Bombyx mori: one gene and its partners. Each later gene encodes a partner of the first gene's protein in a complex. Links are inferred from orthologs where the notes say so. Each region holds a gene or a part of one and is shown in the gene's direction. Other genes may lie near its edges.

Region 1 (4,701 bases):
TTCCGATCCGGTGGTAGATTCTGCGAAGCACGACTCTTGCTAGGGTTCGTGTTAGCAACGTCATTAGGTTTGAGCCCCGTGAGCTCACCTACTAGTTAAGGCGACGTTGATAGGTATAAGCCTCTCAAGGCTATCAGCTTAGGTAGGAAAAAAAAGAAAAGAAAAGGTGGTCGGATTGATAACCTCCTCTTTTGAAGTCAGTTAAGAAGCGTGATTTTGGTACCTTAAATAGCTCATTAACATTCTACTATTCAAAAATATTTTCACTTTCCACGTAAATGAAGTCGCGGGTAAAATTTAGCGTTATGCCAAAGTGACTATTCCACGCGGACGACCTCGCGGGCAAATATTAGCTATTTACTAGTTTGATTAAGTAGGTATTTATTATATTATTTCATGTCGAATACTTTAGTTTTCATGAATAGCTTACCTGAGGTCTGAAATTTTCATTCTCACCAGTTTTAATGCATATCTTGGGTGCAGTAATTTCTACTGCAAGAAAACAATTTAAAACAGGATTTAAAATAGGATTTTGATTTTATTATTTTAAGATGTTTACAGATAAGTACTAACCAATGTCACCAACGAGAAAACGTTCATAGAAAGTAAACACAAAGTATTCCGAACCCCACACATCAATATTGATTGTATCGACTTCTGAATCTCTCAATGTGAAAGATGTAACGGCTCTAGATTCCCCATTTTTTCTCCGTGAACTGATGGTACGAGGACTATTTTTAGCTATTATGATACCCAATATGAGTGCATTTTTTTGGTTAATATTTAAAGCATTAAGGCAAACTTTTTGAACTCCAGCCATACTTATATTTAAATAGACCACCACAACAATAAGGAGAGTTAAAATTTGTATTAGTTGATTAGATTAGTTTGTGTGGTACGTAGGTAGGTAGGTATCTTATATAATATTTTTGAAATAAATTTGGCGCTTCAAACTGCTTTCATAAGTTGCATTTTCCACTTTAATGGGCGAAGGGGTCATAGTCTATAAAACCAGGTCAAATGTAAATGTGTCCCGAAAACTTAATTTAAACTCACTTAACACGTTGAACGCCACATGAAAAAAATCGATATTTTCATTCAGGCCACGTTGCTCACCGGTGAGCCTTATCTTACTGAACCGTTCGGGCCATTAGGAGTCACCTGTGAGCCGCGTGAGGGTTACAACGTAAACGTAAACGTTTCTTACAAGCCACAGATTGCACCAATCAAACAAAATGGAAGTGAGCCGCGTGGCCCTTTAGCCTAGCCGAACGCGTTGGTTTTCAAATCCAATAGAAAATTGTAGTTTTTATCAAGACATCTTAAAATATCTTATAAACTAGACGGTAATTTTTATCATCCGTGGAAGTTATTGCATTTTATGAATTTTAGAATTAAAATCTCAAGTTGATAAAATTACTCATTTCTGATTTTAGCTTGGCCCAAATGGTATAGTACGTTAGCCCACCGGTGGGCTGCATTGCGTACAACGTGTTGTTTTAAATTAAGTGTATTATCTATGGTTATTAAATTTATTCTAATAGGACTTTTTGGCGGGAACGCGAGCAGTGAAGTTGTGTGATTTGTTTTATTTTGTCTATTTAGTGTTTTTTCAGGTTTAAATGTGTAATAACGGTGGTTTATTAACTGTTTAGTATCTGTGGAAGTGCACAAATGTGGGAAAATAAAATAAAGCCACTGAACGTAGCTTCTCGGTTTCCTCCAAGAAGTCCACTGAAAAAATCTTAGTAAGTGACCACCATTTTACTGAGATTATATTTCATCTCATTTGATTTAATTTCATCCTAATTGATTAATGTCTCAAATTAATCATCTTCATTTCATTTCATTTCACTTCACTCCTTAATATAATTTTTCATAAAAATAAGAATATACATTAAAATAAGATATGACTTAAAAGTCTTAGTTACCAGGTCATAAAATCCCTTTAAAAAAAGCGGCAAATTAATGAAAAAATAACTGAAGCTAAAGAATTATTAAAAGTCTGGGGAAGGTCTAAAAAAACAAGTGAAGTGAATAAATTAATAAGTCGAATAGCTAAGAGAGGAAATTCATTCACAACATAAACTTTAAGCACCAATAAGATGCTTTTAAAAGTATCGCCGAAATCAACAGCAGATGAGGAATTCTCTTCCCACGATCTAGAGAGACAAATTGTTGACTACACTGATAGTTCTACACGGTTTTATGAAGCACCACGAGATTTTTCCAAGCAGTACGCCCATATATATTCAGCTAGGTTATGTACATTCCGAAATATTTTGACTCCGCTGATAAAAAATAAGTGGTCAAATAAATACAAGATTTTAAAGCTTTGTGATTTACGTGAAAGCGGTACCTCTTGTGTTATAATTGGAACACTGTTCAAACTGCAAGAATTGAAACCAAGCATTCTGAAAGAGCTTTCAGATCAGCTTGAGATTATACCACAACCAACTAGGTAAATTGGACTCTACATTTAATAAAATGCTGTTTAATTAAAAGGTAATGTTGAAATATTAAAAATTCTATCTTTTAGGACTCATTTCGTCCATGATTCCGATAGCCTTGTGTTAGAAGATGAATTGCAAAGAATCAAACTTGTAAGCGATGTTATAGATATCCATCAAGTAGTCACTGGAGTTGTATGTGCAATTTTAGGTATTTAAAATCCATAATCATCTGTTCTATGTTATGATGATTGAAATAAAACACTAAAGTTTATTTTCATTATAGGATCTGAAGATGAGGATGGTATATTTACTGTTAAAGATGTCTGTTGGCCTGGTTGCAGTATACAAAAACCACTTCCAGTTAGAAATGAAGACAGGTTATTTCATCAACTTATATGCTGGATAAAAATCACTGTTGCTAAAGGTTCACATAGTATGTAACAAAATAAACTACATTCCCTTAATTGATTTTTTTCCCTTCTAGATACATAGTACTTATGTCGGGTTTAAATATGGCATCAAAGTCTGCAGATCAAATTTTGTCCTTGCACTTATTTTTGGAATGGATGTCAGGATTAGCAGGCACATCTTATTATCAAGAAGAAGTTTCTAAAATTGTACGAGTTATAATAGCCGGTAAACTATAAGCTTAAAAGTTAAAATGGTTCATGTTTATGTATGTATGTATGTTATGAAATTGTATGAAACTCCATTAGTGTTTTAAAGTTATTTCTTTGGGCATAAATAACATTTAATAATCAAGTAAAAACTTATAAATAGATAAAATAAATAAATAAAGTAAGTAAGGATTTAGAAGTATAATGTGTGCTGGCTTGGGAAGTTACTAATGCTGTTTCTGGGTTGTAGTGTAACATAGTCACCAAATACATTATAATCGAGATTTCAATCATGTCTAAAGTAGTGACTATTCAAACCAACGACATACATACCATGTTGGTTTGAATAGTTGCATTATATGGCAGTTCACTTTAATAGGAATAATCTATGCATGCATAATTTACTTTGGTAAACGGAGAGGAGTGCCGAAACAGAGAGTAACAAGCACTGTTAGCAAGTTCAAAATGTTAACAGACTTATATTAATTTTGTACACACAAAAAATACATATTATAGAAAAATATAAACTAACTTAAACAAATATTAACACAAAAAGTAAAGAACGTAAAATGTTTAATTCCTAGGTGGAGTGTTTGCAAATCATTCAGATGAAAGTGTTCTAAATGAATCAGATGTCATATCGTCAGCAGAATTGGTGGATTCATTGGCAGCAGCTATTAGTGGTGTGGCTCCTTTAGACATAATGCCAGGATGCAAAGATCCTAATGATGTAATGTTACCACAAAAACCTTTTCATTACTGTAAGTATCCATTTTATCCATAGGTTAGCTTAAAATTATCATTACTTAATAATTTTACCAGGCTTTTTCAGAACAAAATTGCTATTTAATGCTGGAAATTAAAGAATTTACACTCATAATAATCTTATTATAGGTTTGTTCCCTAAAGCTACTGAATACAAATCGTTCCGCCGTGTTTCTAATCCTTATGAATGTGAAATAGGAGGTAAGGATCATTGCTAGCCATTATGAAAATATATCATTTACTATTACTGTTAACTGAGGAATTTGGTTGAAACATATAATTATTTATTTTAGGGTTGTTATGTTTAGGTACTTCAGGAGAGCCAGTAAAGGATATAATGAGATATAGTAACTTAGATAATAGTCAAGAGGTACTTAAAAAAACATTGGAATGGAGGCATTTAGCACCAACATGTCCTGATACGGTACCTTGTACCCCAAGTGTGGATACAGATCCATTTATTATTTATAACTGTCCAGCTATTTATTTTAGTGGAAATGCTGATGAATTTGGAACTACCTTATATGAAGGTTTGAAACATTCTATAAATTAAAAATTCTTGGCAATATTCCCTTAATAGAACAAGAAATTTAAAAACATAATTGGTTTCAGGAGAAGAAGGGCAACGCATCAGAATAGTATCAATTCCAGATTTTTGTAATACTAAATCGATAGCAATTATCAATTTAGCAAATTTGGAATGTTACAGCATGAGTTTTTCTTGATTTTCATATAATTTGGAATAAATTGATTAAGTGCACAAATTTATTATATCAGTTTTCAGTATAGCTATATATACCAAAACCTTTAATACAATTGTTATTAAATATATCGGCGCAATCCTGCTATTTCGTTAAAGTTAACTG
Region 2 (4,225 bases), on another chromosome or scaffold:
GACTTTTAGACTATGCCTATGGTGGCAGGACCTCTTGTGAGTCCGCGCGGATAGGTACCACCACCCTGCCTACTTCTGCCGTGAAGCAGTAATGCGTTTCGGTTTGAAAGGTTGGGCAGCCGCTATAACTATACTTGAGAACTTAGACTTATATCTCAAGGTGGGTGGCGCATTTACGTTATAGATACCTATTTATGGGCTTCAGTAACCACTTAATACCAAGTAAGCTGTGAGCTCATCTAACCATGTAAGGAATAAAAAAAAAACTTTTCGGCGGGAAGGCGAGGAGTGGAGTTGTGTGATTTGTTTTATTTTGTCTATTTAGTGTTTCTTCAGATTTAAATGTGTAATAACGGTGGTTTATTAACTGTTTAATATCTGTCAAAGGGCACAAATGTGGAAAAATGAAACAAAGCCGCTAGACGTAGCTTCTCGGGATCCTCCAAAAAGTCCACTGAAAACGTCTCAGTAAATGAACACCATTTTACCGAGATTATATTTCATCTCATATCATCTTATATCTTTTCATTTCGTGCCATACCATGTTTTATATTAATCAACTTCATTTCATTTCACTTCATATTATCATTTTTCATAAAATTAAGAATATAAATTAAAATAAGACATGACTTAAAGGTCTTAGTTAACAGGTCATAAAATCTCTTAAAAAAAAAAAAACTTCAGAGTAGACGTGCGCTAATCATGTTCGGAACTGGATTGAACATGACATCGTTCTTTTGAGTGTCGGAACTAGTTCCAGTAAACATGTTCGCGGAACTGTTTAGTTTCACGAACATGTTAAGTCTAGTAGCTGTTTGTAGTTTGTAGCTGTTTAGTTCCGCGGACATATTAAGTCTAGTAGCTGTTTGAAGCTGTTTAGTTCCGCGGACATGTTAAGTCTAGTAGCTGTTTGTAGTGTAGTGAATCACGTATTAAGTTATTATTAATTACACAATATTTTTCAAAAAAGGTATTAAAAAAACAATTTTTTAAAAGCACTATATAAAAATAGATTGCCGCTTATGGCAATTATTATTGTAATTATTATTTTGTAAGGTTTTTAGTTTTAGGTTCATTGTTACAGCTGGTTGCATAATTTATTAATGTACTGTAATTACTTTGTCATAATTTCAACTACTCTACTACTTTCATTATTTTTCAATGTAGGTATTGTACGATGCACCGAAAACTATAACCTATCAGTTGTTAATTAAAATACCACGTTATTCTGATATACAACGTAAATTGAGCTCGTTGTAGCCTTACAACCTTTTTCCCATAACCGAGATACCGAATAGCGAAAGTGGTGAATGTTTTAAAATTCTCGAATTTTGAATTATGATTTTCTAAGAAATGGTCTACAAACACTTAAGGTTAAGTGCTCGTAGGAATGATGCATGGTCAAGGTCAAAATCCATAGCAAAACATTTTAATTTAATCAACTATCGACTGTAACACGTAGGTCGTAGAGCATAACTTCAATATTAATAAAAATGTAATATGAAAGAGCTCCACACGCAGTTTCATGCACTCGCTCCATCTCACTCTCTCGTATTCGTGCCATATGTCGCCTTATCTCTTTACGTGGACTCGTGTCGGTTCGAGACTCGTTCGGGTGGACTCGCCGCGCCACGCCTCCGCGCCGCGCGGTACCTATGCTCTAATCATGTCCGCATGTCCGTCATGTTCAACGCGTTCGTAGTTCCTGCATAACAGTACACTTGGAATGGAAATGGAACTGTCTGAACATGTTAATTTTGACAAGTCGGATTGAATGATATAGTTCCATATGAGGACATAGTTCCAGGAACTATTTAGTTCCGGAACTACGCATGTCTACTTCAGAGTTCAGAAAAGAATTGATAGGTAACTTAAATTAACTGTTTACTGTTTGAATGAATTTGTATTTATAATGGATGAAAATAAGTCAGAGAGCTTAAATTCTATAAAGAACATAATCTTAGATGAGCGGCGTTTAGTGACATACACATCCATTAGTAAAGAATTGTGCATTCATGTAAATAAGGCGAAAATATTTTTGAGAGAATTTGTTGATGAATTGAGAAAGAACAAGCCGAATGTTGGTCTTTCAGTCAGCTACATTATCTCGGGATCCTTAAAAAACAATAAACTTCTAACTATTCTTGTACTAGAAGAAGAATTAGTAAGCGTGAAAGACAAATTCAGTACAATATTCTTTGAGCATATTTATAGTGTATGCTACGGCCATTGTACAAGTATAGATAAATCAGCATTTATAGCTATAAACACCTTCGAAGATTATTTGTTATGTAAAGGTACAGTCAAAAACAATATTTGTTCAAAGAGATCTTATGAAGAAATAGGCACTTTAAAATTTAAGAGCCAGGAAGTACCCGAGAAAAATCTGAAAAACTCCATAAAGAAAGATTCGAAAAACAGTATTAAAGAAGAAAATCACAATACACAGAATGAAGTGAAAACTATTAAAGATCATGATAAGAAAACAGATCCTGTAAAATCTGAAATTCCATCACCAAAGTACAATTCTGTTACTAACAATAAATCTCTTGATAAAAAAAGTAATGGAAAGTCTAATGGGAATATAATGGGATTTTTATCAAAAACACCAAATGTTAAAATGGATATTAACAAGAAAGATAAGGGAGATATTGAAAACAAAACAAAAATAACAAAAAAATTTGATAGAGAAGAAACAAACATTGATGATAGCTCTAAAACCAATGGAACTGAAATTAAATTGACAGAGAAGAAGTCAGTAAATAGTATAATCGCACAAAAAAATGAAGCATCAACTCAAAAAAAAGACATCAAAGTGGAGAAAATAGATATTGAAGTTAAAGTAAGAAATAAAAAAACTAACCAGGGGAATTCTTTTGGAAAGAAACGCAAAAGAGTATTGCATGTTTCTGATAGTGATAGTGATTGTGAAAAATCAGATTCATTGGCAGATGAAATTACTTTGGAACGTGAATCTGAAGATGAAATTCCACCAACTCCATCAGCTACCATTGTTACCATAACACCTGGGCTTGTTAATGCAAAAAAGAGGAGAAAAATCATAGATAAAACTTATACAGATGAAGAAGGATTTATGTTAACCAAAAAAGAAGAAATTTATGAGAGTTGTTCAGATGATGAAGTGCATACAAAAGAGAATGTTGATATTAAAAAACAAGTCACCGTTGAAACCACTGCTCTGAAAAATGTGCCAATAAAGCAATCAAAAAAAAAGTCTTCTCCATCACAAAAACATAAACAACCAACCATGATGAACTTCTTTAAAAAAGTACCAAATTAAATACCATCCTATGTAACCAAATCATGGAATAAAATAATTATACCATCAAGATATAGTGGATGCCAGTTCAATTGTTTTAATAAGGATCCAATTCTCTACGTACATTTATATACTTACAGAATGTAATAGGTTAACCTTCAATAAGCGCAGTTGGCATTATAATTTCTAAAGTTTGTTTAGGTAAATGGAAATAGGGAAGACAAGGTTGAGATAATTCTGCTATCAAATACTCAGTATTTATATAAAAAAGAAAGATAAATCAGTTCAGTGCAATATTTTCCCAGTTACACTGAAAATTTCCTTTTTTAATTTAGTAACTAGTGATGAGCTTTTGTAATATTGTTATCATTAAAAACAATCAGGAAAATTTTTACAAGTTCCACTTTTATACTAAAAAATGACAACAACAAAAGTATAAGTAGGTAGCAAAATTTTAATCTTATTGCTAGTGATGATGTTCTGACTTTGAACAGCAAGTTAGGATCGCTAATACTTACGAGTCATTAATTTCATTATTTCATGCCAATAATTTCCAACAGTTGTAAACCAAATATTAAACAAAAAAAAATATTGCACATACCGACATAATATATTCATGTACAGATATAGTTTGATCCCTCCTGGCTGAGCCCTTGCTTACCTACCTATCCTGGTGAAACTAGGAAAGCCTCCGAGAGAACAGTAATCTTTCAATCGCAAAAAAAAAATGTTTGACAGCTTTGTTAAGGATTATCGAATGTGATCTGAATCAGATAATGTAGATGATTGTAACATCATTATTTTTATACATTTTGATATTATGTTTTCGAATCTTTGCACCCTTGAATTTATTACAGTTACGCTATATATCTGTATAGCCTGTAATTCTGTGGATGGAAGGATTCTTTAAGAACTTATTACACTTGTTTTATGTCATTAACTTTA
Region 3 (4,087 bases), on another chromosome or scaffold:
TGACCCTAGCAAGAGCAGTGCTTCACAGAATCTACCACCGGATCGGAAACGCGATCCACTGAGAAGATCCGGCGAGAAACTCAGTGGGCTGTGTTTATGGGTTAATTCGCTCGTCGAGCCCTTCGTCGCAAGCGACAGGTTCGGCCATGACGGTGACCGGTGCTTGTGTACCTAAAAGCACCATTAATGGATCGGAAGGATCTAATGACGTGTTTTTTTTTCGGTCTACAGGGTCGGGTATATAGTTTCCAGCGGCCACGACAAGATGCTTTTTATGTCGTGCCGCCCTCTCAAAGTGCGTTCTAAGTATCGGTCACCGTTCTCTTTGAATGCGACGAAGAGTTCGCCGTACTTACAACATATCCCGCAGACCTTATCTATTGAATTTCTGGTGTAAAATGTTTTTAAGTAATGTAACTACTTCCAAGCAATTAATTAGTAGAAAATAATACTTTTCATTTAATTGTATTCTGTTACATATATTATTATAGTTTAATGTTTAGGACCTAGCATTATCTTCACTATGTTCTAAATGATTTTCTTTTTCAGTGATAATGGTCGAACGAGCACGAACAGAAGTGATTAGTATCCATTATAATAAACATACGTTTTTATAAACATAATGAATAATATACTGAAATTTTAAAACACGGGTAGGCTTCTGCAATTCAAACTTGCGCCGCATTTGCGAATACAAATAATAAATTCTAAAGATATTTCAGTCTATGTTATTCATTCTGTCGTAGAGGGCCCAAAGAGCCATCTAGTATTAAGGTGTTTACTAGAGCGTATACAAATCACCCACGTTAATGTCGCCGCCTACATAAACTGAGTCTCAACTATATTTTACAGACCTGGGATATTAAAGAGTTTCAATAGAGATCCTAAAAATAATAAATGTCTATCTTTAGTGCGTAGATCAGGTACAAAATCAGATCAGAAAAGATAATATGAAGTGAAATTAAACGAAGTTGATTAATTTGGAACATTAATCAATAGGCATGAAATGAATTGAAATGAAATGATATGGGATGAAATATAATATTAGTAAAATGGAGGTTTTTTACATCTTTTTAGTGGTCTTTTTGCAAGAGTCCTAAAAGTTATGTGCAGCCTTTATAAAAAACTATAACAGACAAATATTTTCTACATGGATACCAAGTTTCAAGTCAATCGGATGCATGGATTAGTAGTTACAACGGAACATCCATAAAAACCACTGTAGATTTAGATATTAGTATAGATTAGGCAGTATGGTATAATACCTTTGCCTTTCCAGTTGAAAAAGTAGAACTACCACTGAACTGATATTTGACAGTTCTTAAATTGAAAAAATCCCGCGTTAAATCCTACAGATTGATTGAAAAATCTTGACTTAATTACGTTAAATTTTAAAAAGTAGTGCTTACATATTATTTAAAGGTATAGAACCTCCATGTCAAGTAAGTGAAAGATTAAATTTATCTCCCGTTAATCTCAGTGCACAATTAGGTAGTTAATCTATGTTAATTACGAGGACGTAAAAGCAAGCTAAATTAAAACAATATTGTACACAGACAAAATGGACAGGAATAAAACTAAAGGTCCTCCTCCAAAGAGGTTTAAATCTGGCGACGATGACGATGAAAACGATACTCCATTTAGTTTCGAAGAACAACTGGCTTGTATGGACACTGGTGATATTGACAGCCAAGAAATATTTGAAGGTGAAGGACCTGAAAATCAATCTTCGAATATGAAATGGTCTCGTCCTCCACCGCCTATACTGACTCCAAACCGAGAAACATTAATATTTCAACAACTCGACATTGATCATTATTATGGCTCACCAATGAATGGCATGCCTGGCTCCCAATTGGCTCCCGTACCTATAATGAGGATGTACGGGATAACTTCAGAGGGAAACTCTGTTTGCTGTCATGTACATGGTTTTACACCATATTTTTATGTCACTGTACCAGTAAATTTTACAGAATCTTCTTGTAACGAAATGAAAACAAATCTTAACAAAGCAATATTAGAAGATTTAAGAGGGAATAAAGATAATATTAAAGAATGTGTCCTTGAAGTGCGTTTAGTACAGGCCAAATCAATTATGTATTACAAAGGTGATTCCAATATTACATTTGCAAGAGTTTCAGTAGCACTGCCAAAATTAATTGCTGCTGCCAAAAGACTGATCGAAAGGCAACCTCTATCTTTTGGATTGATGGATCCTCAATTTTATGAAACAAACATCGATTTTGATATACGTTTCATGGTTGATACTTCAATTGTTGGATGCAGTTGGATTGAACTACCTGTTGGGAAGTGGTTTTTAAGAACAATAGATTCAAAAGTGAAGCCTGAATCTAGATGTCAGATTGAAGTGGATGTGGCATGGAATGCTTTCATATTTCATCCACCAGAAGGAGAGTGGTCAAAAGTGGCACCATTCAGAATATTAAGTTTTGATATTGAATGTGCTGGTAGAAAAGGTATTTTCCCAGAAGCTAAACATGACCCTGTAATTCAAATTGCATCCATGGTCATAAGACAAGGTGAAACAGAACCATATTTAAGAAACGTATTTACATTGAATACATGTGCTCCTATTGTAGGTTCACAAGTACTTAGTTTTCAATCAGAGTCTGAAATGTTATCTAAGTGGTCTGATTTTTTTCGCAAATTAGATCCTGATATCATTACTGGATATAATATTAGCAATTTCGACTGGCCATATCTTATAAATCGTGCTAAACATTTAAATGTGCAAAAATTTGATTTTCTGGGACGAATAAAAAATGTAAGATCTGTTATAAAAGATACAGTCTTGCAATCGAAACAGATGGGTCGAAGAGAAAATAAAACCATTAATTTTGAAGGACGAGTTCCTTTTGATTTATTGTTGGTATTAGTTCGTGATTACAAATTAAGGTCATATACTCTGAATGCTGTCAGTTACCATTTCCTTCAAGAGCAGAAAGAAGATGTGCATCACAGTATAATCACAGATTTACAAAATGAAAGTGAACAAACCAGAAGGAGATTGGCAATGTACTGTCTTAAAGATGCTTACCTCCCACTAAAACTTTTAAACAAATTAATGTGTATCATTAATCACATGGAAATGGCTAGAGTTACTGGTGTTCCTTTACTTTGTTTACTAACAAGAGGGCAACAAATAAAAGTTGTCAGTCAGCTACTACGCAAAGCAAAAGAAGCTGGATATTTAATGCCAGTATACCATAGCCAAGGTTCTGATGATCAGTATGAAGGAGCCACAGTTATTGAACCCAAAAGAGGATACTATGCCGACCCTATTTCAACCTTAGATTTTGCATCTTTGTACCCGAGCATCATGATGGCACATAATTTATGTTATACAACTTTAGTTCCCCCTAATGCTCAAAACCAATTTAATGTTGCTGACAATGATGTTACTATAACACCTTCAAAAAACATGTTTGTAAAAAATCACATCAGAAAGGGCCTACTACCAGAAATTCTAGAATCACTACTCGCAGCAAGAAAAAAAGCAAAGGCAGACTTGAAGGATGAAAAAGACCCATTTAAAAGGTCAGTTCTGGATGGTAGACAACTGGCTTTGAAAATAAGTGCAAACTCTGTTTATGGATTTACAGGTGCTCAAGTAGGAAAATTACCATGCTTAGAAATATCTGGTAGTGTCACTGCTTATGGCAGAACTATGATTGAATTCACTAAGTCAGAAGTAGAAAAGAAATACACTAAAGCTAATGGATATAAAGAAGATGCTGTTGTTATATATGGAGATACTGATTCTGTAATGGTTAAGTTTGGAGTGAAAACTCTTGAAGAGAGTATGGAATTAGGAAAAGAAGCAGCTGAATTTGTTACAGCAAAGTTTGTAAAACCTATAAAATTAGAATTTGAGAAAGTATACTACCCATACTTACTCATTAATAAGAAACGATATGCTGGCCTTTATTTTACTAGACCAGATAAATATGACAAAATGGATTGCAAGGGTATTGAAACTGTTCGAAGAGACAATTGTCCTCTTGTTTCTAATGTAATGAGCACTTGTTTACAGAAGTTGCTCATAGACAGAGACCCAGATGGAGCT

Evidence for each region. Proteins that work in one complex are often made in the same cells at the same time.
Region 2: DNA polymerase delta subunit 2 (region 1) and DNA polymerase delta subunit 3 share a complex: the UniProt entries of both Homo sapiens proteins name them as parts of the both the DNA polymerase delta and DNA polymerase zeta complex. The link is inferred for Bombyx mori from reciprocal best matches to the Homo sapiens genes POLD2 and POLD3.
Region 3: DNA polymerase delta subunit 2 (region 1) and DNA polymerase delta catalytic subunit share a complex: the UniProt entries of both Homo sapiens proteins name them as parts of the tetrameric DNA polymerase delta complex. The link is inferred for Bombyx mori from reciprocal best matches to the Homo sapiens genes POLD2 and POLD1.

Annotation. Positions count from the first base shown.
Region 1 is NC_085117.1:13,261,894-13,266,594, forward strand, and holds DNA polymerase delta subunit 2, read left to right. Parts: upstream 1-1,548; 5' UTR 1,549-1,748; intron 1,749-1,927; 5' UTR 1,928-2,105; coding exon 2,106-2,461; intron 2,462-2,539; coding exon 2,540-2,661; intron 2,662-2,736; coding exon 2,737-2,830; intron 2,831-2,937; coding exon 2,938-3,089; intron 3,090-3,654; coding exon 3,655-3,831; intron 3,832-3,964; coding exon 3,965-4,036; intron 4,037-4,128; coding exon 4,129-4,365; intron 4,366-4,447; coding exon 4,448-4,560; 3' UTR 4,561-4,586; downstream 4,587-4,701. Other genes in the region: meiosis-specific with OB domain-containing protein, read right to left, coding at 431-492, 574-820; uncharacterized protein LOC134199621, read right to left, coding at 4,587-4,640. UniProt on the Homo sapiens protein: Accessory component of both the DNA polymerase delta complex and the DNA polymerase zeta complex.
Region 2 is NC_085112.1:7,020,458-7,024,682, reverse strand, and holds the start of DNA polymerase delta subunit 3, read left to right. Parts: upstream 1-1,425; 5' UTR 1,426-1,912; coding exon 1,913-3,301; 3' UTR 3,302-4,225. UniProt on the Homo sapiens protein: Accessory component of both the DNA polymerase delta complex and the DNA polymerase zeta complex.
Region 3 is NC_085116.1:10,632,158-10,636,244, forward strand, and holds the start of DNA polymerase delta catalytic subunit, read left to right. Parts: upstream 1-1,287; 5' UTR 1,288-1,435; coding exon 1,436-1,442; intron 1,443-1,507; exon of another isoform or gene 1,508-1,556; coding exon 1,557-4,087. UniProt on the Homo sapiens protein: As the catalytic component of the trimeric (Pol-delta3 complex) and tetrameric DNA polymerase delta complexes (Pol-delta4 complex), plays a crucial role in high fidelity genome replication, including in lagging strand synthesis, and repair.